4 linked regions of the Solanum lycopersicum genome follow. The protein of the gene in region 1 interacts with the protein of each later gene in a pairwise test. Links are inferred from orthologs where the notes say so. Each region holds a gene or a part of one and is shown in the gene's direction. Other genes may lie near its edges.

Region 1 (5,643 bases):
TTGAGAAAGAATGTGTTTTGGAGAAGAAGATGAAGATGAAAGGGGGTTGGAGTGGGGTGGGGGTAAGGTGTGATAGAATAGGTAGACATTTTCATTATTCTTTTTCTTTTTTAAAAAATTAAATATTAAACGTGTGTTTTTTTTATAATTTTTGGTCCAATGCCAAATGTTATTTTTTAATTAGTCATGTTGCCACGTCACCGCAAGTGTATCACACACTCTTCACATTTTTTGTTGATTATAAAAAAAATGTCTAATAGAAATGATTATTATATAGGTAAAAATGTTCAATTGGTACTAATATTAGTTGAAATGTCTAAGCGAATTATGCAGAGAACTTTAAGGAACCTGATTGACTTAACTTTTTGAAAATCTCTCTATGTTTGTTACATATAGGGAAAAAAAAAAGTAATGTCAGTCACTCACCCCTCATCACCTAATTTTTTAGTTAATGGTTTTTGGTTAAAGATTTGATAAGCATGATGTCATTGTAGTATTAGGATATAGCACGCGTAGAAGAAGTAATCAATTAGGGGATTGAATAAACTAATTTTGATTTGTTTACTTATCTGTTTAATTACGCAATGATGATTAATCTTAGTTCTAATCTTATCGTACACACTAAGCCAAAAGAACCATACTTGAAAAGCAAAGTGGATTTTTGTCCTTTTGATTAGGACTCCCACTTCCTAAATGAGCCATTTGTTTTATTGCACCGTTTTTTATTTTATTTTATATGAGTTAGTTCGAATCGGTAGAAAATTTTTAAATGAAAAGAAAACTTTTGAAATTTATTTGAGATAAGTGATATTTCTTGTGTTTAAAAAAAAAAGATTTTATTTTCTTCTTAATCTGTTTAAAAAAGAATGTTTCGTTTTTTTTTTTACAATAATTTAACTTTAACTTTCCATGTGACATATTTAAGACCACAAGATTAAAGAACATTTTGATATATTTGACATAACTTTAATTTAGAACCACAAGATTAACAAGTCTTCTTTCTTTTCTTAAATTTCATTATAAGTCAAACTAGGTCATCCTTTTCGTTAATATCCTTTTTTTAACGAAGAGAGTAGATATTTGTGTTGTTATAAGTTATTTTATAAAAAGTAAAATAAATATTTTAATGTTAAATTGTTACTTGCTATATAAACATGTCATTCTTGTTTGAGGTAACTAAAAAGAAAAATAAATCAAATTTAGAGAAAAATGTACAAAACACTTTTTTTATTAAAAAACTCGTTTAAGACCCTTTTGTAGAGCTTTCATTAAAAAACCCGTTTAAGACCCCTTTGTAAAGCTTTCAAATTTCGTACTTACTTTTTAAGGGGAGTTATTTTCTAATCGATTTTAAATTGTGAAAAGTTGATTATTACTATTTTTTCAAGTTATTTTCTTTCACACACAAAACTTCTCTACACTAATAACAACAACAACGGAGATTCTAGAAAAGATATAATGTATGCATGTATCATCTTTTACCTAAAAATAGAGATATTATTATGGATTAAAGTACATGAAATATTATACAAACAAGATAACTAATGGTAACAAGACAATGATTATAATTGAATCATGTGATGACCAAAAATATAAGATAATAAGTAATAAAAATCAAAGAACTAGAAATTACGAGTGCAACACTAACTACTAATATGAACAGATGATAAAACAACACACGATGACCTTCTAATTTTCTATCCTAATTTGTGTCCTCCCTAATCTTTCTACGTAAGATCCTAAGCATCTATTTCCAGCCCTCATCAACACACGTCCATTCATACACATTCATTTCTACTATTTTCTCGTTTTATCTCTGTTTATATAAATTATCTATAGCCAATCACTCACACATCCACACTAGAACATCAAAACATATCACTTTCAAATGTTCAAAATTATCTCGATCTTTAACTTCCGCACCAAAGCCACTTCCAAATGTACCTATTTTAATCCTATCTCTTCTAGAACAACGAGAGAGGTTACAACATAGTTGGTCTTAACTATTACTTTGCATTTAGTCACAAAACTTGTATGTTTTTGATCAAATTATATAAACATAAGCTTTCTTTTCAATGTTCAAAAGAAAAGCTGATATGATAAAGTGAAAAAGAAATTGAGCAGAGAGAGACGTTAGTGGAAGAAGAACTGAAAGAGAAAGGCGGGCGACCTTTGCTGACCCTTCAAGTCTCTCCCTCCCTGCATGTCCCCTTTTCCATTTTTGAACTGTTTTACACTTTACGCTTCTCTCTCTCTCCCAATTCCACCGTTCCGGTACCGGAAATTCAACAAACTTCCCTAATATTTCTCTATCACAAATTTTAAAACAGACCCACAAACACTGCAGCTTACTAGCTTTAGTTTTATGTCTTTAACTTTTGTTTTCAAGATTCTTGCTTCACACTTATTATTCAACTATTTCATACTTGGGTTTTTCTAAAGACTTCATTTTTAGCTTTAAAAAAAAACTTTTTTTTTTTTGGGTTTTGCGTATGGAGTATTAAGAGGAAGATTATGCTGTATTAGGGCTTGATTAGAGGTAAGGATTTTAGGAATGGAGTCGAAGATTTGCATGAATGGACTGTGTGGGACAACTTCTTCAATTGAGTGGAAAAAAGGGTGGCCTTTGCGATCTGGTGAATTTGCGACCCTCTGTGATAAGTGCGGGTAATTCAATTCAGATCTCACTCTCTCTTTATACTTAATTTATATATGTTTGTAAATTCAGTTTTGTTGTTCTTTTTGTTTTGTAGAAACTGGTTTGCCTAGTGCTCAACTCTGTTTGATCATTTTATATGATAACATTACCATTTAGAATGTCAAACAGTGATTTTTCATTGTAAAAATGTTCTGACTTATATACTCTTTGTATAGGTTTTGAATTTGCTTATTTTATTCGAGAAAAGATTAAGGAATCAATGTCCTACTAATTGAGATGGTTTGAAATTTGTTTATTGAGCTGATTGTTCTTTTTTGAAACGGAAGAAGTATTTACAATCTGAACAGTTTCTGTGTTTATGTTAAGGTTACTGTGTTGGTGAATACTGTAGCAGCTCGGAGAATTATCCTTTTTGTTTTGCTGAAAGATATTTGCTAAATCATGTTCTTTTATCCGACTGTTCTTTAATTCGACTAAACAATTACTTTACCTTTTCAAATTAGAGATTGCATATTCAATTTGAGAGAATTAATTCTATTGGGATAATATGTTCCTAGTCCAGTTCATGCACCCTAGTAATGGTTGCTCAAACTGACTCTAGTTCTGGAAAGATTAAAGATCCTGCAAGATCAAAATGTGGGAAAGATAATCCTTCTTCTTTCTGTTTCACTTGTTGTCTTTTAGGAAGTCAGTGCAGATTAACCTGCTTACGTTCTCCTAAGGATTTGTATTATCTGTGATTCTTGCTGTGTCATAGGGAGGTTTTTCTTGGCTGAGATCAGGAGCATGGGCTTATGATCTAAGTGAGGCCGTTGAAGCGAGCCAGAATTTTTAATAAGGGGGTTCAGAATCTGAAGAAATAAACACATGAAGTAGCCGAAGGGGGTTCGACATCTATCGTATATACCTAAAAATTTATTTTAACCATGTAACAATAATATAATTTTCCGCCGAAGGGGGTTCGGATGAATCCCTAGTGATAAGGTGGCTCCGCCCCTGTGTTGAAGTGATGGCATAACTTTTTTTTTCTTTCCAGAATTGTCTATTTGGTTCCATGTTAAGTTACTGTGGAGCAACTTTGTCTTTTTTTGCTCTTTTTGGCCTTTATATGAAATAGAGATTGCATGCAGTGATTTCACTTACAGTAAATAATACAGTGCTGATGGAATGAAACTATTTTATTATTAATATTTGTTATTTTTTTCCCTTTTGTTTTGTTTTGTTTGTTTGTTTTACTTCTGTTATTTTTCTGTTTATCTTTTGTTTCTTGGTCAGGATAGATGACTGGTAGTTAAATTCATGATAAACTTAGATCTTTTGCAATCTACCGCCTGCATTGCCGAAAGGAAAAACATTCACTTTAACTTTGGAATAAAATGTAGCTAATGACAGTTTCACCATAAACTGAAAACTGAAACTAATGCAGAGTCTTAGGGCATCCAGTTTGAGAAATTATATCTGGAACGCTTCTAGTGTAGACACATTTGCATAAAACTTATTGATGCCAAAGCAATTCCTGGTATAGTCGATGTAAGCACAAGTTGAATCGGACACCACTATTATTAAAAAAATAATTAAAAAGATTCAATGGCGATATATTGGAATATGGTGGTAACCAATTAGAATTGAAGACCACGTAGTTGTAGAGTTGTATCACTGACTCAGGAGCCTGCCCATTCATTAATGAGCAAGATTCTCTTCAGTATTGAGTGGCAAAATCACAAACCACTGCCATTAGTGGGTTGAACGGAAACTTCTGAGCCCTTTTTTCTTAAAAAGTTAAGATGGTTCGAGGACCAACTTGCGCTAGCATATGTTAACTAATCCATCAGCACAGATATCACATAATTCTCGGTAATTCTGACCATCATGACTTAGGCAGACTGCAGATGGGATGAATTGACCTAATGCACCTACTGGGAGCAAGCTTTGATTCCTACGGTTTTCAGTCTAACTCTTCGACTGGTACGCCTCCCCCTTGTCGGCCTTCTATAGTGTTCACTCTTTTCTTGCCCAATTCATGCAGGCAAAGGGTTACTATAGTTTCATGACTTATTTTATACATTCTGTTCTTGTTAATATGAGATCAGTTTTTCTTCCCAAATGTCAACTCACTTAGAGTAGATGACCATCATTTAGCAATCTGTGGACGCCTTTCTCTGAGTGTACTGATTTCATCTCAAATGCAATGGTAGATTATCTCTTACGCCTAAAAGGTCTATTGACTAAGTTCTCTTTGCTTGAATGGTGGAGAGTATAGATTTTAAAAAGTAGTTCTTCATGCTGATGACGCCAGAATCATACTAACTAAATACTTAGAAATAAGTATGTTGAAAGTAATTGAATTTGGAAACTTGGAGGAATAAAAGAATTTACCTTAAGTTTTAATACAAAATTCTGGCAAGCCGAGTACTGTCAAATGGTGAAAGGGTAGATTTCTCAACATTATACGAAATATTGGTGTCTGCTAAAAGTGGGATGAATTTAAACACGTATTAATTGCCTCAAGTTAGGTGTAGGACTTCGCATCAATTATTTTTATGAAGCGCTAAAATATCTCGTAAAATGAAATATATATATTGGTCTGCAATTTCTTTTTTTAGGATGGTAACACTAATCTATATATTCACAGGTAGAATACATCCAAAATATGTAGTCCCCTTCAAAAGGTATTACAGTCTAGTCATATTGCCGTCTATCACCTCTACTTCTTACAAATAATCTAAAACATCCCAGATATCTTCTGCTTGGTCTACAATTTGTAATGTGAAGTTTGTATTTACCATCTTGTGAGTTGTGACCTAACTTCACTCAGATTTTCCTGAGAATTAGATCACTAACTCTCGATGTCATAACATGGGATTTGGATTTACCCCAGGAATGCTTATGAACAACTACTCTTCTGTGATTTATTCCACTCGGAGGACACTGGTTGGAGGGAGTGCATTTCATGTGGCAAGGTTAGCTCCAGAATAGTATTTCTG
Region 2 (5,232 bases), on another chromosome or scaffold:
GGTCTTATATATTGATCTCTTGTACTCCATCCATGTATCCTGAAAAATGTTCATCAAAATTCTTATGCTTGTATCACACAACTATGATGTTCAAGTAGTTAATCCAGACATCTCCTCTGGACTGGTATGAAGGCTATGTTAGGAAGGTAAGAATGTTTAATCTTGCATTCTATGGGTCGTATGATCAGCATGTTTCTGTTGCAGGTATTCTTGACAAAGCACTACAGGAATCGCAGGGCAGGTGATCCAGAATTTGCTCTTGATTTCGAAGAAATATACGTTATTGATTCTAAAACCAAATCAATTACAAGAGCCAAAGTAGTGGTAAGGAATCATTACAAATTTGATTGAACACCTTTTCTTCTAGATTAGCTAATTTTTTATTGATCAAAAGTAACTTGGCTGATAAAGCGATCATCTTTTATTTCGCGGACATAGCTTTTTTATTTTCATAGCTGAATTTGCTGCCTGTGTAATTGGAGTTCCAAAAATTGGATTGTTAATTCTTTGAAGAGATGTTTAACAATTTACACCGCTCAACAATCAATTCTGACTAAATTATACGGTGCAAAGGAATACAGAAATTTGGGGAAATGGTTGTTTTGTTCAAGGGAAAGGGTGCAGGGTTCAGGAGGAGTTTGCATGGAAGAGGGTAAGAGGCAAAGGGGGAAAACTAATGGATTTAAGTTTAAATTTATTTCTTTGTTCTATGGAAGAGAGGAAGTGGTAAGGTTGCAATTGCTGCCTTGCACTGATAAGTGGTAATTGTTTTGTTTGCAATAGAGCCGGAGTGAATTGTCATATAACAGACCCAAAAGAGCCAATTCCACTTTGCTGATGATGCCAAAGGATTTCATTTTTATACTGAAAAGGGAAGGAGTATACAACAACAACAACAATATATCCAGTGTAATCCTACAAGTGGGGTCTGGGGAAGGGTTTAGTGTACACAAACCTTATCCCCCTACCTTGTAGGTAGTCGGCTCAAGGAAATAATTTCAAAGCTAATCGAAAAAAGAAATAACATGAGTGAAGGTCATGGGAAAATACTATAAGAAGTATGTCAAAGCATTTTGAAAAAAGAAATGCAACTGCTACAAAATAATACGATATCAAAATGCAAGTAATAACGATAATAAGTGACATTGAGGGACAAGAAACTCCTTGAGTAATACTATGACTACTAGTATGAAAAGGTAAGGAGTGTGTGTGTTAATAACTGTTTTGACTATGATTTAGGGACTGAAATTAGAATTACTCTAAAAGCCTATGCTGATTTGCCTCTTCAAAAATGCCAATCGGTGCATATCAGATCCTCTAAAATAGTGCATTTTGGAGGATTCTACACAGGTCGTGAACAATTTTTGAAATCTGAGCGCAAACAAAGAGCAATATGAGAAGTCGATTCTAAATGAATGTTGTGCCAAAGATATGTGGCTTTGAGCCGGCTCAAGAGAAAATTTGGTTGAGTTGGTCTATTAGATGCCCAAGTATAGTCTTCAGAATGTGATAGAGCAAGCTCCTAGTTCTTGACTTCTCCTCCATCAAAAGAGCTTCTGATAGGTGTTATGAATTCATTGTAGCTGCTTTCGTTGTATCAAGAATCACAAGGACAGACTCTTATACAAATTAGAGAATGTTGATCCACTTTTTTGGTTCTTTAGATTGCCTCTAGATTTTAATAGAATAGTTAGGTGGAAATAACACCTTGTTTAACAACAGTTACCTTTATTTGTAATATTTCTAATTGGACTCAACCTTTCCTACTTTCGCTTGCTGGGTGGTTGGACATAAAACTGTTATCCTTTCTCTAACTGCTTATTCTGCCTTGTATTAAAGATTTTTCTTCGTCCCATAATTATGCTTTTCTTAAATGCTTCAATTGACAGAGTGTTGCACAATCAGTGATCACTGCTACACAATGAAACATAAAATTAGGTTAAAAAGACAAGAATCTGAACCCCTAACACAGCCATATTTCCTATCAATTCTTTATTTACAAAGACTCATTTTCTAGCTGTCTCTCTGTTTCTTTTCTTGGCATTTTATAGTAGGACTTCCCTTGCAAAGCCCTTGAAAAGTAAGTGACAAGGTATGCTCGGAACATCTTACATACTATTAGACATGAAAGTTGGATTGTTCAGTCGAACAAGGTAACGAGTCTAAGGGAAGTAACATGTGTACTTTAAATATAGTTTTCCTGAGAAAGGTAAGGTTGGATGGAAGAATTTTTAAGGGAAAGGTTTGGAATACTTCTGAAGCATACCTTATCAGCAGTCCCAAATATTACTCATCTTCTTTCAAATGTGTAACAACTACAGAAATACGGCTTTTCTCTTATTTATTTATTTATTGTTTTTTTCATTTTATCCCTTTTGCATTGTCTATGTAGGATTTAGTCTGTAGAAAAGGTATAAAGTTTGAATGATTAAATACATGAATTCACACATTTACCAGTTTCAAAAAATAAAATAAAATACATGATTTAATGATAAAAAGTTTAGGAGATATTGTATTTCTGATTGAAAAACATAAGAAAAAGTATCAGAAATGTTCGAAATATGTTCAACGCAGATACGTGTAACTTGCCCTTTCTTTAAGGTCTTGAACTCATTTGAAAATGATAACTTTGATATATATATTTCTACCACTCCCTAAAAGTCCAGTTTTATTGTTATAATAGGTTTGCATTTTGATGTACTTATCTTTATGAGTCTGATGTGCAATTTCTTGTTGGTAAATACTAGTATCCAATGAAAGAGCTTTTATTACAACTTTTAAATATATTGTCCCAGATGTAACTGCACAGTGACAATAGCTCTTCACAGACCCTCTTTTCGATAATAGTGCTTATTGTGGCTTATTACAGCTGTTGTAAGCATTATTATATTAAGTGTTTTAATTATAATTTTGTTGTTCTTTTGTTGGGAGGCACATCAGATACAACTATAGTTAGGCTGTCTGCAAAATATAATGAAAGAAACTGTAGTGGACAAGAAAATGATCATTCTTTCCCACCTCGCCTTTCTCCGAGAAAAAAAAAAGAAAGAATTTTGAAAAGAAAGAGAAAAAACTAAACACTTGTGTAAAAATTCATTGCATCATTATCCTTTTTATTGTTGTTATGGTGTGGAGAATGAAGAAATGCTTTGTTACAGTGAGATATTGGCTGCAAAAAGTTAGACATTTCCCATCAAAATCTGTTTCAACTGGTAGACATTGAGCATCTGGTTGTAGCCTTTGGTTTCTCAAATCATTTATCGTTAGTATTAAAAAGTTATTTTGTGTTCCAAAAACAGGTGACAGTTCCTGGAGGAAAAAGCAGGGATAGGAAGAATGATTTACTTGTCATCCGTGATAACGGGAACTCATTCAAAATTATACCATCAGTGAGTATTCTTACTCCAATTCTTTCTTATCTCTGTATTATTATCGCTGTCTATCCATCTCTGATGAGGGAGCATCATATTAATGTAGGAGGAAAGAGATGATTTTACCACTGTGATAGAGAAAGAAGAGTGGAAGAAGACAAGGCAAGACATGGAAAGACATCTTAGTAAGCTAAGGGATTTCAGTGTTTCAAATTGGTTTTAGTTGGCCAATGAATACCATTGTCGAATATTTCTGTGGTAGTTACCTCAGAATTGCTGGAAGAGGTGGACGGATTGAATACCCTAATAGCTGAAGGAAACAATCAGGTTAATCCGAAATTGTTCATGGTGCTGAACGCCGATAGAGCCAACTGCTTCCAAATTTCAGAATCTTAATCTTACATTATGACTTGTGAAAATGATCACTGGATGAAGGTTTACGGTGAGCTTAGGTAGAAGGTAATGTAGCAGTTAAAATTCATAGTATTTCTAGTACAAGAAAATGTGCAAAACTTGAACCAGTAACATTATCGTAAAGCAATCGAAACAATTTCTCTCCTAATTATGAAAGCTGGAGGAATTTGGAGTACAGTGCAGTGTAATTTGCTTCAAATTTTGTTCAACTGTTTTACAGTCAATTTTTTCTTCTCTTTTAACTATTACCAACATCTGTTTTGGTTCTTTAGTATCATAAGTCATCATTTCTGCTTTTTCGAAGTAAACCAGTTTTCGAGTATGTCATCATGATCATGATCAGTGTAGAATCATATATATATATATATATATAGAAAATCTTCGACCTGTCTGTGTGGCACCACCACAAACCAGAATTCCCTTTTAAATTTATTTATTTTCAAAAGTAGCCTTCTCATTTTATGAAAAATTGCGACTTCATGAAGAGTTGTGACTTTAATGAAGAGTTGTGACTTTTATGAAGAATTACGACTTTTATGAAGAATTGCGACTTTTATAAAGAGATGTGATTTTTATGAAAGGTTGTGAGCTTTCGGAAGGTTGCAACTTTTCCAAATAGTTTTAGCCTTTCAGATAAGGTATAATAAACATTTGTGCACGGTACCCTTTGTTGTTTATAAATAAAAGAATTTCCTCTCACTTTAAAACAACGAAAATTCTAAATCACTTCCTCCTCCTCTTCTTATTCTTCACAACTAATATTTATGTACTTTGTTCCTGTTGAGTGGCTCACTGATGATTGCTTATATAACAGATCTTAGTATAATTTATTAAGTCATTAATATGTTTATGTTAGTAAGGATAAATGATAGGATGTAATAAATTTCATTTTCTTTACATTATTAATGTTTGTTACCACGTAATAATCTTGTATATGAGATAATACAGTGTTTTAGTTTTAATAACTAATAGATTTAAAATATTATTTTATAAATTCTTTGATATTAAGTTTCCGCGCGAGGCGCGAGTAATTTTCCTAGTTTTATGATTAGATTACATTGAAATAGGTAAAGCATCAATTGGAGAAATTTATTACAATAATCCAGTAAAACATGTATTGCAATGCCAACTAGTACCAAATTGTTGATTCCAACAGAAAACTCTCAAAATAAGACATGTATATTCTGAATGTTTGTAATAAATAAAGATAAAATATGGTGTTGCTTAGACAAACTCATTTTGACATGCTTGAGACTTCCTTGGGGAAATAGTTTTTCTTTGTAGTAGCAAAATGTTTTTAGGAGAAGTAAGCAATTTGACAAACTGCAAAACTCGGGCATTTTCGAGAAGAGTTCTTGGTCAAAAACATCTTTAACCTATACCCTAAGTTTAAATTATATCTTAAGTAAATATATCTTTTTTTGACAAAAAACATCCTCCGAGTATT
Region 3 (4,530 bases), on another chromosome or scaffold:
TTGATTCCTGTAGAGTACTGCATTGATACAAGAGGTTTTCTGGGTGGGTATGTGATTAACAAAGTTGTTTCTTTTAGCGCAAATCACTCTTGGAAGTTATCAAGGAGACTGTATTATCCCATCTTACCAAGAAGTGCCCCCCTCATGTGAGTATGCTAGTATGCTGAATGACTACATTATTAGCAGCATTGATGCTCTAGTCTTTGATCTGACATTGAATTGGATTTGTATGTTTTCTAGGTTCAAGTCATAGGCCTGCTCTGTAGAACTCCTCAAAAAGAAAGCAGACATGAATTGCTCAGGCGAGTTGCTGCTGGTGGTGGAGTATTTCAAAGTGAGAATGGGACAAAAGTCCATCTTCCTGGGGCAAATTTGAATGATATAGCTAACCAAGCGGATGATATTCTGGAGGTAGGCTCTTAATGTATATGCATAGTCAGGAGACTAACCAGTTTTTGGTATTTAAGTCTAAAATAATTTGTTTTGCATCAATTTCATTTGGCTGCGGGTCCCTTAGGGTGCAGGTTATTAGAAACCACAAACTTTACATGGTATGGAACATCTGGTTTGTAGAGACCATAAGGCACCACACTGTGCATTATGTAACACATTTTGGAAAATGGTTAGATCAATATTTTCATCTATTGATGTTAAAACTTCTGTTCAGCCATCTTGGTCAGACAATTTGTAGTGTTGATGCTGGTTATATGTAAGCTGTAAGAAACTTGTGCTCAATGCTGAATTCATTATTTATTTTTGTTCTCAAGTTACTGAAATATTAATTTTTTATAAAAATGAAGAAAAAAAGGCAAGTCATGGTAATGTCAAGTTTTAACAGATGCCATCTTACTTGGTTATCAGGGCCAAAAATGATACTCCCTCGTTTTCAATTTGTTTCTGTGGTTTTGACCTGACAGAGTTAAAGAAAGTAAGAAGACTTTTTCGGATCTTGTGGCCTTGAACTAAAATATGTAGAATGTACCAAAATGCTATTTAATCTTATGGTCTTAAATATGTCATGTGGAAATTTAGGAAAAGAGTTACCAAAATAGAAAAGAGACATTCTGTTTTAAACACACTAAAAAGTAAGTAAGTCAAACAAATTGAAACGGAGGGAGTACATGGGTTTCAGTTGGAAACCTAACCTGCCAAAAAGGCTTAGGGGAATCATCTTGTTTGGACTTCAATTTTTTTCGTGTCACTGTAGAGTTATCAGTTTTCAGTCATCAATAATTAAACAAATTCCTCATGTAAGTGTCAAATGGTGTTGGCGCTTTCGGCTAACTTTTCTGTATTACTCTCTTTTGACATCTGTTTGAACTTATTTGTGTTCCCCAATTCAATATATGTGATATACTTCATTCTTCGTTATCAGTTTTGACCTTTTCCATGATTTAGATATAATATCCATTTTATCCTTATTTTTGTTTTTTTATTAACTGCGGTGACCGAGCCACCTTGCATGCACCTCGACTTGTTACACAACATACTTGTCACCTCCTACTAGCAATAAACAGGTACCACATAACTTTGTCCACGGGGCTATGACAGATGAAAAAACCTCACCTAGTATTTTTGTCTCAGCTAGGATTTGAACTTGAAAACTCAGAGTCCACAACCCAGTTGATTGACCACTAGGTCACACCCTTGGGCTCCCATTTTATCCTCTTCTAGAAATAAATTTACATATTTGAAAATCACTCTGGAAGTAATATGCAATAATGGATATGGCATAGTAAAAGATTTAGTCCGGATGCTCCTTTTACTATTAGGTTTCGTTAGTTGCTTTCATGCTCTAGAATCATTTCATATTCCATTGTGAAAAAAAAGTAAAAACTGTTTCATCATGCTTAAGTAAGAGATAAAATAAGATCATGTAAATTCTCAAAAAAAAATATCATGTAATGTGATTTCTGAACCCTTAAAATCATTTATCAGATCAACGGACTTCGAAAATATTATTACTATTTGAAGGAATCCTTCACGCTAGTGTTCACTGATAAAATTATGGATTGTCTGTGACTGTCTTTGTTGCAGACGATGGAATCTCGTTCTGTTATCCCTGACAGGAAGTTACTAGCAAGGTTAGTTTTAATCAGAGAAGAAGCTAGGAACATGATGGGAGGTGGAATACTTGACGAAAGAAATGATCGTGGCCTTAATATTCTTCCTGAATCAGAGGTTTGTTACTTAAACATATATATCCCATGTCACATTTTAATTCGGTGGGCCTGTAAATCTGTGAAAAATAAACCATCTGAATGGTTATTGTACAGCTTCTGCTTTGACTACTAAATGTTAGCATTTTATGGTCATGCAGGTGAACTTTTTAACTGAACTTGTTTCCCTAAGACCAGGGAAAGCAGTACGCGACATGATAAAAAACGTGATGCTTGGTAAAGAAGAAGGTGCAGACAGTTCGAATGATGAAGTTGGTGCTGCTGGTGGAATTGCAGGAAGGGTGAGATTTTGTCCTGAGATGATGTCACTACCTTTTGAGAATTCCAAAGCTTCTCAACTATAATTTTCTTTTGTTTCCAGGCAAGTGTAAGTGGGCGAAAACCATCACCTGTGCGTCCTGGCATGTTTCTTGAAACAGTTTCTAAGGTAAGAGTTTCTCGTACATGAGATTTTTGTTATTGGACATAGTTGGCATATCTGATTCAATCTTCAGAAACATTGTAAGAAGGAGGATGGGACGATTATAATATCTTACCGCATCTTATTGCGACATTGTAGGTGTTAGGTGGCATATATGGAGGAAATGTCTCTGGAGTTACAGCACAGCATCTTGAATGGGTATACTCTTGTTAATCTTTGTTAGGGTAGCGTTTCATTTAGAAAGTTGCTTTTGTTATCAATGGCTGATTGTTTTTAACATCATTTCTGGACAAGTAGCTAATCCATATAACTTTAAATTGTGTTTCAGGTTCATCAGAACACACTTCAAATTCTTCAAGAGATTGCATTTTAGTTGTTCCTTGCACTACTTCCCAGGAACTCCCCGAGACGAATGTTAATATATCCTGCCCACTTATCTTGGAAGCTTCATAAAATTTGGTATTTGAATATTTCATAATCCATGTGTGATCTGGGGAGGAGGGTGAGGCTGCACTTTTCATCGTATACAGCAGTCTTCTTTAGATCACCAAGAATCTATGTTACTTGTGTATAGTTATCAGACGAACAGGAGTAGTTTAGAAGGTAAAATGTAGAATTTGAAGTAAAATTCTGAGGACATGTACTGTTTTTGGAAACACGAAAACATAAGTACAGGTGTTAAAAGATTTGATGCAAGTAGTTCTATATTCACTTTTATTTGTAATTTTCAATGTTGAAGTTATGTTTTGTAATATTAATATAAGACTCATTTGATCATGAGAATTTTTTAAAACATTTTTCTGGCCAAACGAGTGTACTATTAAATGGAAACATTTGGCAAATCCATCTTTGAATGATTAAGCAAACATGGGTAGAATCATACTTTTAAGGCATGTCCAATCACTAACAATGATGCTTAATGGGGATTCAAGATCAATCAAATCACAACATTAAAGGCAGATAGAAAAAAGTGTGCCCATGTGTGGTTAGGTCCTACTTGTTTCCCAGACGCCAGGAATGTTCCAATTTCCAAAAATGATGTTTAAAAATTGGAATATATCTCGTTGTTTATATTGTTCTGAGTTTTGCCAAAGGATAGGGCTTAGTGGGGCACTACTACCTTGGGAACTAATATTCGAATTCGATCACATTTTCCCATCTGCCTAAACTTTATTGTTTGGTGAGACATATTCTTTCGTCCCGTGTTGGATGAACACTTTATACTTTACACTATTATTAAAAAATTGTTAATAAGTTGATTAACTTTACTATTTTGTCATTTGATCATGCTAATTATCCTCTTGAAATTAAATTGGATCTTAAGAATTTGTTTAAACTTCCAAAGCCTTGTTAACTGTAGGGGTAATATTGAGAAAATAATTAATTTTATCTAAATTTAATAAATGATCAGATACTACAAAATAAATACTTTTAGTAAAATATTCATCTAATATGGGATCAAAGATAGTAGACAGTAGTTTGATGCATTAACCAACAAGCTTAGTTTGTATACCAACATTATTAAGAAAAGTGTGTGTTATTTGCATTTATTTGCTCAACAGTAACCACTTTAGATCAAATCTACAGTGGACTCGTGTATATTGCATAAAATTTAAAGAATATGAAATACTTCCTATGTTCACTTTCATTTCTCCGCTATTTTTAAAAATAAACTTTTACTTTTTACTTTTGAAAAAAAAAAAGATGACAAAATTCATGTTTTTCCCATAGCATTAATTGCTTACTTCATAATATACTAAACATCATTTAATAGGGATAGTATGATATGTTGGGATTTAGCAAGTGTGAATGGAAAAAGAAAAGAGAGAATATGAAAAAGTGAGGGAACTACTTTGGAAGGAAAAAAATGAAAAGTCATTTGCAAAGTGCAAATAAAGTCATTTCTCTCATATCCGCAAAACAAAGAGA
Region 4 (5,639 bases), on another chromosome or scaffold:
AATTTTAAATTCCTCGGTGAAATTTATCTCACTATGGTTAACGGCTTAAGTCTTAGTTCGAAAAGTTTTGTTACAAATCTATCTCGTATAATTATGTAAGCATAGATCATGGGAATACTTGCATTACATATTGGTCTTTTAACTGTGGTGGTAATGTGTGAAAAAATTCTTGCAGCCGTGCAAAAACTGTGAACGAGAACTTGAAGAATGAATGGTGCTTTGCTTTCGCGATTTGATTTGGTGTTCATATTACTTGATAAATTTGATGAATTGCTGGACAAGCGACTCTCTGAGCTTATTATGTCAGTAAGTGTCCTAAATGGTAATAAGCAAAAAATATCGCTAAAATCAGTAATTATTTTTTATAATGTATTAATCCAAGAACAGTAAGTTAATGCTGTGAAATTGTGTTTGACTTGTTAGATTGTAATTTGATTTTGAATAACTTTTAGGTAATTGTATAACATAACAAATTAATAATATAAAATAAACGGAAAAGGACCTAAAATACCCTTAAAGTATTGAAAATGGTACAAAATTACCCTCCATCCACCTATTGGCTCCAAAATACCCTTCCCACCCACCTATTGGGTCCAAAATACCCTTGTCATCCACCTTTTGGTTCAAAATTGACCACTTATTTAACGGTTTTATATTAAACTATTTAAATATTTTTTAAAATACGTGAAACTCAATTTTTTGTTATAATTTAACTTATTAGTATAATTTATAAATCAATCCACTACCCATCCCATTACTAATCAAATCCCTCTAAATTAATGAATCCGTCACATTATTAATGCAAGCTACTGCCAATTGAGTGTTTTTAAAAATTATAGAGGTAAATTATCATACATTCAAGTGGCTAAATAAAAATCACCGATAAACTTAAAAGTCTGACTATGTTCATTTTAATTATTCTTATGTCTCAATTATGTGATGTTACTTCATAGGTAACTTTCTTTCAAAATAATATATTAAAGGTTTTAAAACAAATCATAAATATTTATAAAATTATATTTTAAAAAAGAGCATGAATTAGTTCGGGATGTATTACTTCTTTACCTTTAATCATGAATTTCTAATTCAATTTTGAAAGAAAGTGTCCTTCTAAATAAGCGGCTCAACCTAAATTTAATTGGGACTTCGATTCGGACTCGAATAATTTTGAATGTCATTTTCAGGAATCTATAATTTCATCGTGTTTTACTAGTGTTTATGATGATTTTGATATTATAATTGGATTATTAATTGGGTGAGGTTTAATTAGTAATGAGTGAGTAGTGGGTTGGTTAATAAATTATATTAAAAAATTATAATTATAATCAATAGTTGAACGCCAAGTATTTTTAAAAATATTTAAAGAGTTAAATTTTAAAACAATTAAAAAAAGTGGTCAATTTTGAACCCAAAGATGATGACAAGGGTATTTTGGAGCCAATAGCTGGATGAAAAGGGCATTTTGGAGCCAATAGGTGGATGAAGGGTAATTTTGTACCATTTTGAATACTTTAAGGGTATTTTAGGCCCTTGTCCGTAAAATAAATATAATAGCTATTGTTTGATTTATTTGTGTTTCATAGCAAACTGTTTGTCAGTCTCATTCTCCCTCATATTTTCGCTCGTCACTCTCTCTCTCTCTCTCCCTATCGCTTGCCTCTCTCGCTTTATACAATAGAATTGTATAAGTTGTGTTTCTAATCATATAAATCGAGAGAAAATTGTATATACACATGTAAATACATATATTTTTGTCATATACACTTATAATTATACAATAAAAGTACTCTTCCGCCCAAGTCTCTTTTGTCTCTCTCCTTCTCGTTTTATACAATTTGATTCAATTGTATATTCCCTGCCCAAGTCTCTTTTGTCATTCTCTCTTTCTCATTTTATACAAATTCAAATTGTATATAATCGTCTTATACACTTATAATTATATAATTCATTTTATACATTTCATTTTATACAATTTTATGCCCAAGTCTCTTTTTCTTTCTCATTTTATACACTTCGTTTTATACAATTCGCTTCAATTGTATATGTATAGCAAATTATACATATATATGTTTGCTATTAAATATATTTGTTACAAAGCGCAATTATATGAACTTTGTTATAACATACAAATATAAATTTTATATATGCTACATGTGAAAATTATCCTACATAAATTTGAACCGAAATAATAATTTTATCACTTTTTCTTTTTAAAAAAATAAAATTAGTTCGAAGTTGTGTCCGAGCCCATATACCACAGCGGGCAACAGATTATAAATCGACTTTCAAATCCCTATTTATATGCCAAAATTTTGGTTCATAAGCTCCATTAACGCTTCGAAAAAGAACTCGACGAGACACTCCAAATTGCGTATTCGAGAAGATTAGCTCAGAGATAAACCCTAAATCGCAATGGAGAGTGCGTTCGCTAGTGCCTCTGCGATCAGCGACCAACGCCAGAAAATCGAACAGTACAAGCACATTCTGTCCACCGTTCTTGCATCAAGCGATATCCAACAAGCCAAGCAATTCATCGATCACAGTAAGTTTTTCTCGTTGTTTCATCATAATTTCGCTGTTAATTTTTTGTTCATGTTCTATAATTCTCAGCTGAAATAGATGTTCGAAGATTCATATAGTCAGATTGTAACCGGTTTGAGATTGAGAGGTTGTTTGATTGAGATTGTGTACAATTATGTCGCGCCAGTTATAATCTCATCACAGTTTTGCTGTTAATTTATGTTCATGTTTTATATTTCTCAGTTGAAACAGATGTTAGAATATTTATATAGTCATATTCTATCTGGTTTGGGATTGAGCCATTGGTTGGTTGAGAATGTGTTTGGTTATGCAGTGCAGTTACTGCCTCATTATAATTTTGCTGTTAATTTATCTTCATGTTGTATATTTCTCAGCTGGAATAGATATAGAAGATATATATAGTTAGATTCTAACTGGTTTGAGATTGAGCCGTTATTTTGATTTAAGTTTATTTACGACTATGCAGTTCAGTTACTATCTCATCATAATTTTGCTATTTATTTTGCATTCATGTTTTATGTCTCTCAGCTGAAATAGATATAGAAGATTTATATATTCTCATATTCTTACTAGTTTGGGATTGAGCCGCTGTTTGATTGAGATTGTGTGTGATTTATGCATTGCAGCAACTATTTCATCTCAATTTTCTGTTAATTTTATGTTTATGTTGTAGATTTCTCGGTTGAAATAGATATAGATGATTTATATAGTCAGATACTAACTGGTTTGAGATTGAGCCGCTGTTTGATTAAGACTGTACGATTATGCAGTGTAGTTACTATCTAATCATAATTTTGCAACTTGTTTTATTTTTCATGTTGTATACGTCTAGCTGAAATAATATGTATAGACAATTTATGCAGTCAGATTCCAGTTGGTTTGCGATTGAGCCACTGTTTGATTGAGATTGTGTATGACTATGCAGTGCAATCACCATCCAGCTGTCTAATCTTAATTTTTCCTGTAATTTTTATATTCACGTTGTATATTCTCAGCTGAAATCTAAATAGAATATTTATAGTCAGATTCTAACTAATTTGGGGTTGAGCCGCTGTTGTTTGATTGAGTGTGTACATTATGCAGTGCTATCGGATGACGTGCCCTTGGTGGTATCTAGACAGCTATTGCAGACATTTGCCCAGGAATTCGATAGATTGGAACCTGATGTTCAAAAGGAAGTAGCACACTATACTCTCAACCAGATACAGCCTCGTGTGGTGTCCTTTGAAGAACAAGTATGCTTTGATATTTCTATTTTGTTAATTGTCAGATTCTTGACAACTCCTTTGCAGCCCATAGTGAACGATACTTGGACTTACATTAATGCCTTATATATCTCTAAAATTTGGTGCTTCAGAATGTCACTAGCATCAGTTTGTCTTTATTTTGCTTTGTCTGTTGCATCAGGTGGTGCATATGTATTTGTAAGGGTGTAGCATTTGGATGTTTGTAATTTCATTTCTTAAAACTTCATAAGAGAACAGCAAGAATGCTCTATCAAGAAAAAATACAGAGAGGAACATGGTATGAAGAAAGAGAATTATTGAATCAGCATGACAATATCTCTGCCACCTAAAGAGAAGGCCTGTTTTAACGATTGAAATCACGTTCTTTTACTAATTATGGGATGGGAAGTACTTATCAGAAAAAAGGATGGCAAATTTCCAAATAATTGTCTTTCAGAAAGTAATCTCTTTCTAATTGACCATTAAAGTTAGCATCTCTATTTTTATTAAAACCAGTTAAAATAATAGGCTAGAAAAGAATTTGAGTGTAGTACCAGGAACTCAATACACGGGCCACAACCCACATTGGGACCATGGGGTTGTTTATTATGAAGTGTGTTTTTTGAGTTGGTGTTGGATGGAACTATTGCATTGACACCTTTGATTCCTTTTCGATGGAAGTGATTTTAAGAACTGAATTTTGTGAGAGTGGGCTAGCGCCAAAGTCACAGAATTATTTGTTTATCTTGGGATTAAAAAGTTTTTCCGGAAATCATAGTTATCTTAAAATTTGATGTGTGTCTTGAGTATTTTAGTTTTGAGAAAATGGTACAAATGAAGGTCAAAATTGGAACTCAGCATATTGTCTGTTGTCATCAAGAGATCTCCACATACAGGTTCTTTTGATCTTTTATGTTTTTACTGCCCATTTCTAAAACAAAATCCCATATTTTCAGGTGTTGATCATTCGGGAAAAACTTGCAGAATTATATGAGTCTGAGCAACAATGGTCAAAAGCAGCTCAGATGCTTAGTGGCATCGATTTAGACTCTGCAATGAGGTCTGTGTTACACTTCTACTTATCTTTGCTTGCCTGCTGCTGTGTCCCTTAACTTATCTTTGGAAGCTGAAATTTCTATCTTCGCACTGCTTCTTCTGCAGATTCGTTGATGATACATTCAGAATTTCAAAATGTGTCCAAATTGCTCGTCTCTATCTGGAGGTTGGATTTTTCTTTTTCTTTTCTTTCTATACTTCTAATGCCAAGTAAACATATCCAAGTTAACGATCCTTGTTTGGTTTGGTAGTGCACCTTTCAACTTGCCTGACAATTGATCTGCTCTAAAGAGGAAGAGGCGAAATCAATTCATCAATATATGTGCTGGAGCGACCTATCAATTTTTTTAGTTTGGTTAACTAATTGTTGATATTTATAAGAAAACAATTAATAACTTGCTAGTTTGAGCTATAGGGCGTTGTTGTAGTGCAAGCGTATTGATTACGGGAATATTATACAAAAGGCTTTCTTAAAAATTCTCATAGAATCTAGAATGAAGTTTTGATTCTATACATGCCATATCATGAATTAGTAGCTGCTTCCAATTAAAAGAAATTCTAATTGTGTTGAACTTTCCATTTTTGTAGTAGTTATGGAATCTTCATGAGTAAACTATAGTCCACACAACCATATCTCCCAATTGAAAAAGATAATTACTACATGAGACAACACATTAGATAAAGGAAAAATCTTTCGTTCTTTCTTTTTTATTTCTATATTATATAGGTATGTACAACTTTATCATCAATTTTCTTTACCGATCAAAAGTAGTTTCTAGTATGTTTGCCCAAACTGCTTCAAACACCTAAGGAACC

The links.
Region 2: the proteins of B3 domain-containing transcription repressor VAL2 (region 1) and PLASTID TRANSCRIPTIONALLY ACTIVE protein 6, chloroplastic interact in binary tests that used the Arabidopsis thaliana proteins (3 or more experiments, as listed by UniProt). The link is inferred for Solanum lycopersicum from reciprocal best matches to the Arabidopsis thaliana genes HSL1 and PTAC6.
Region 3: the proteins of B3 domain-containing transcription repressor VAL2 (region 1) and protein PEP-RELATED DEVELOPMENT ARRESTED 1, chloroplastic interact in binary tests that used the Arabidopsis thaliana proteins (3 or more experiments, as listed by UniProt). The link is inferred for Solanum lycopersicum from reciprocal best matches to the Arabidopsis thaliana genes HSL1 and AT5G48470.
Region 4: the proteins of B3 domain-containing transcription repressor VAL2 (region 1) and CSN4 interact in binary tests that used the Arabidopsis thaliana proteins (3 or more experiments, as listed by UniProt). The link is inferred for Solanum lycopersicum from reciprocal best matches to the Arabidopsis thaliana genes HSL1 and COP8.

The regions. Positions count from the first base shown.
Region 1 is NC_090809.1:57,733,177-57,738,819, forward strand, and holds the start of B3 domain-containing transcription repressor VAL2, read left to right. Parts: upstream 1-1,680; 5' UTR 1,681-2,554; coding exon of another isoform or gene 2,555-2,576; coding exon 2,577-2,667; intron 2,668-4,541; exon of another isoform or gene 4,542-4,566; coding exon of another isoform or gene 4,567-4,624; intron 4,625-5,291; coding exon 5,292-5,328; intron 5,329-5,537; coding exon 5,538-5,619; intron 5,620-5,643. UniProt on the Arabidopsis thaliana protein: Transcriptional repressor of gene expression involved in embryonic pathways, such as LEC1, ABI3, and FUS3. Repressor of the sugar-inducible genes involved in the seed maturation program in seedlings.
Region 2 is NC_090803.1:56,303,117-56,308,348, forward strand, and holds the end of PLASTID TRANSCRIPTIONALLY ACTIVE protein 6, chloroplastic, read left to right. Parts: intron 1-204; coding exon 205-324; intron 325-3,299; coding exon 3,300-3,389; intron 3,390-3,477; coding exon 3,478-3,594; 3' UTR 3,595-4,009; downstream 4,010-5,232. UniProt on the Arabidopsis thaliana protein: Essential protein involved in plastid gene expression and in chloroplast biogenesis.
Region 3 is NC_090808.1:43,956,039-43,960,568, forward strand, and holds the end of protein PEP-RELATED DEVELOPMENT ARRESTED 1, chloroplastic, read left to right. Parts: intron 1-77; coding exon 78-146; intron 147-240; coding exon 241-411; intron 412-2,037; coding exon 2,038-2,181; intron 2,182-2,320; coding exon 2,321-2,461; intron 2,462-2,541; coding exon 2,542-2,607; intron 2,608-2,739; coding exon 2,740-2,799; intron 2,800-2,929; coding exon 2,930-2,974; 3' UTR 2,975-3,394; downstream 3,395-4,530. UniProt on the Arabidopsis thaliana protein: Plays an essential role in early steps of chloroplast development. May be involved in the redox control of plastid gene expression by maintening the redox state around chloroplast nucleoids.
Region 4 is NC_090803.1:66,278,582-66,284,220, forward strand, and holds the start of CSN4 (COP9 signalosome complex subunit 4), read left to right. Parts: upstream 1-2,303; 5' UTR 2,304-2,412; coding exon 2,413-2,542; intron 2,543-3,624; coding exon 3,625-3,776; intron 3,777-4,723; coding exon 4,724-4,827; intron 4,828-4,928; coding exon 4,929-4,989; intron 4,990-5,639. UniProt on the Arabidopsis thaliana protein: Component of the COP9 signalosome complex (CSN), a complex involved in various cellular and developmental processes such as photomorphogenesis and auxin and jasmonate responses.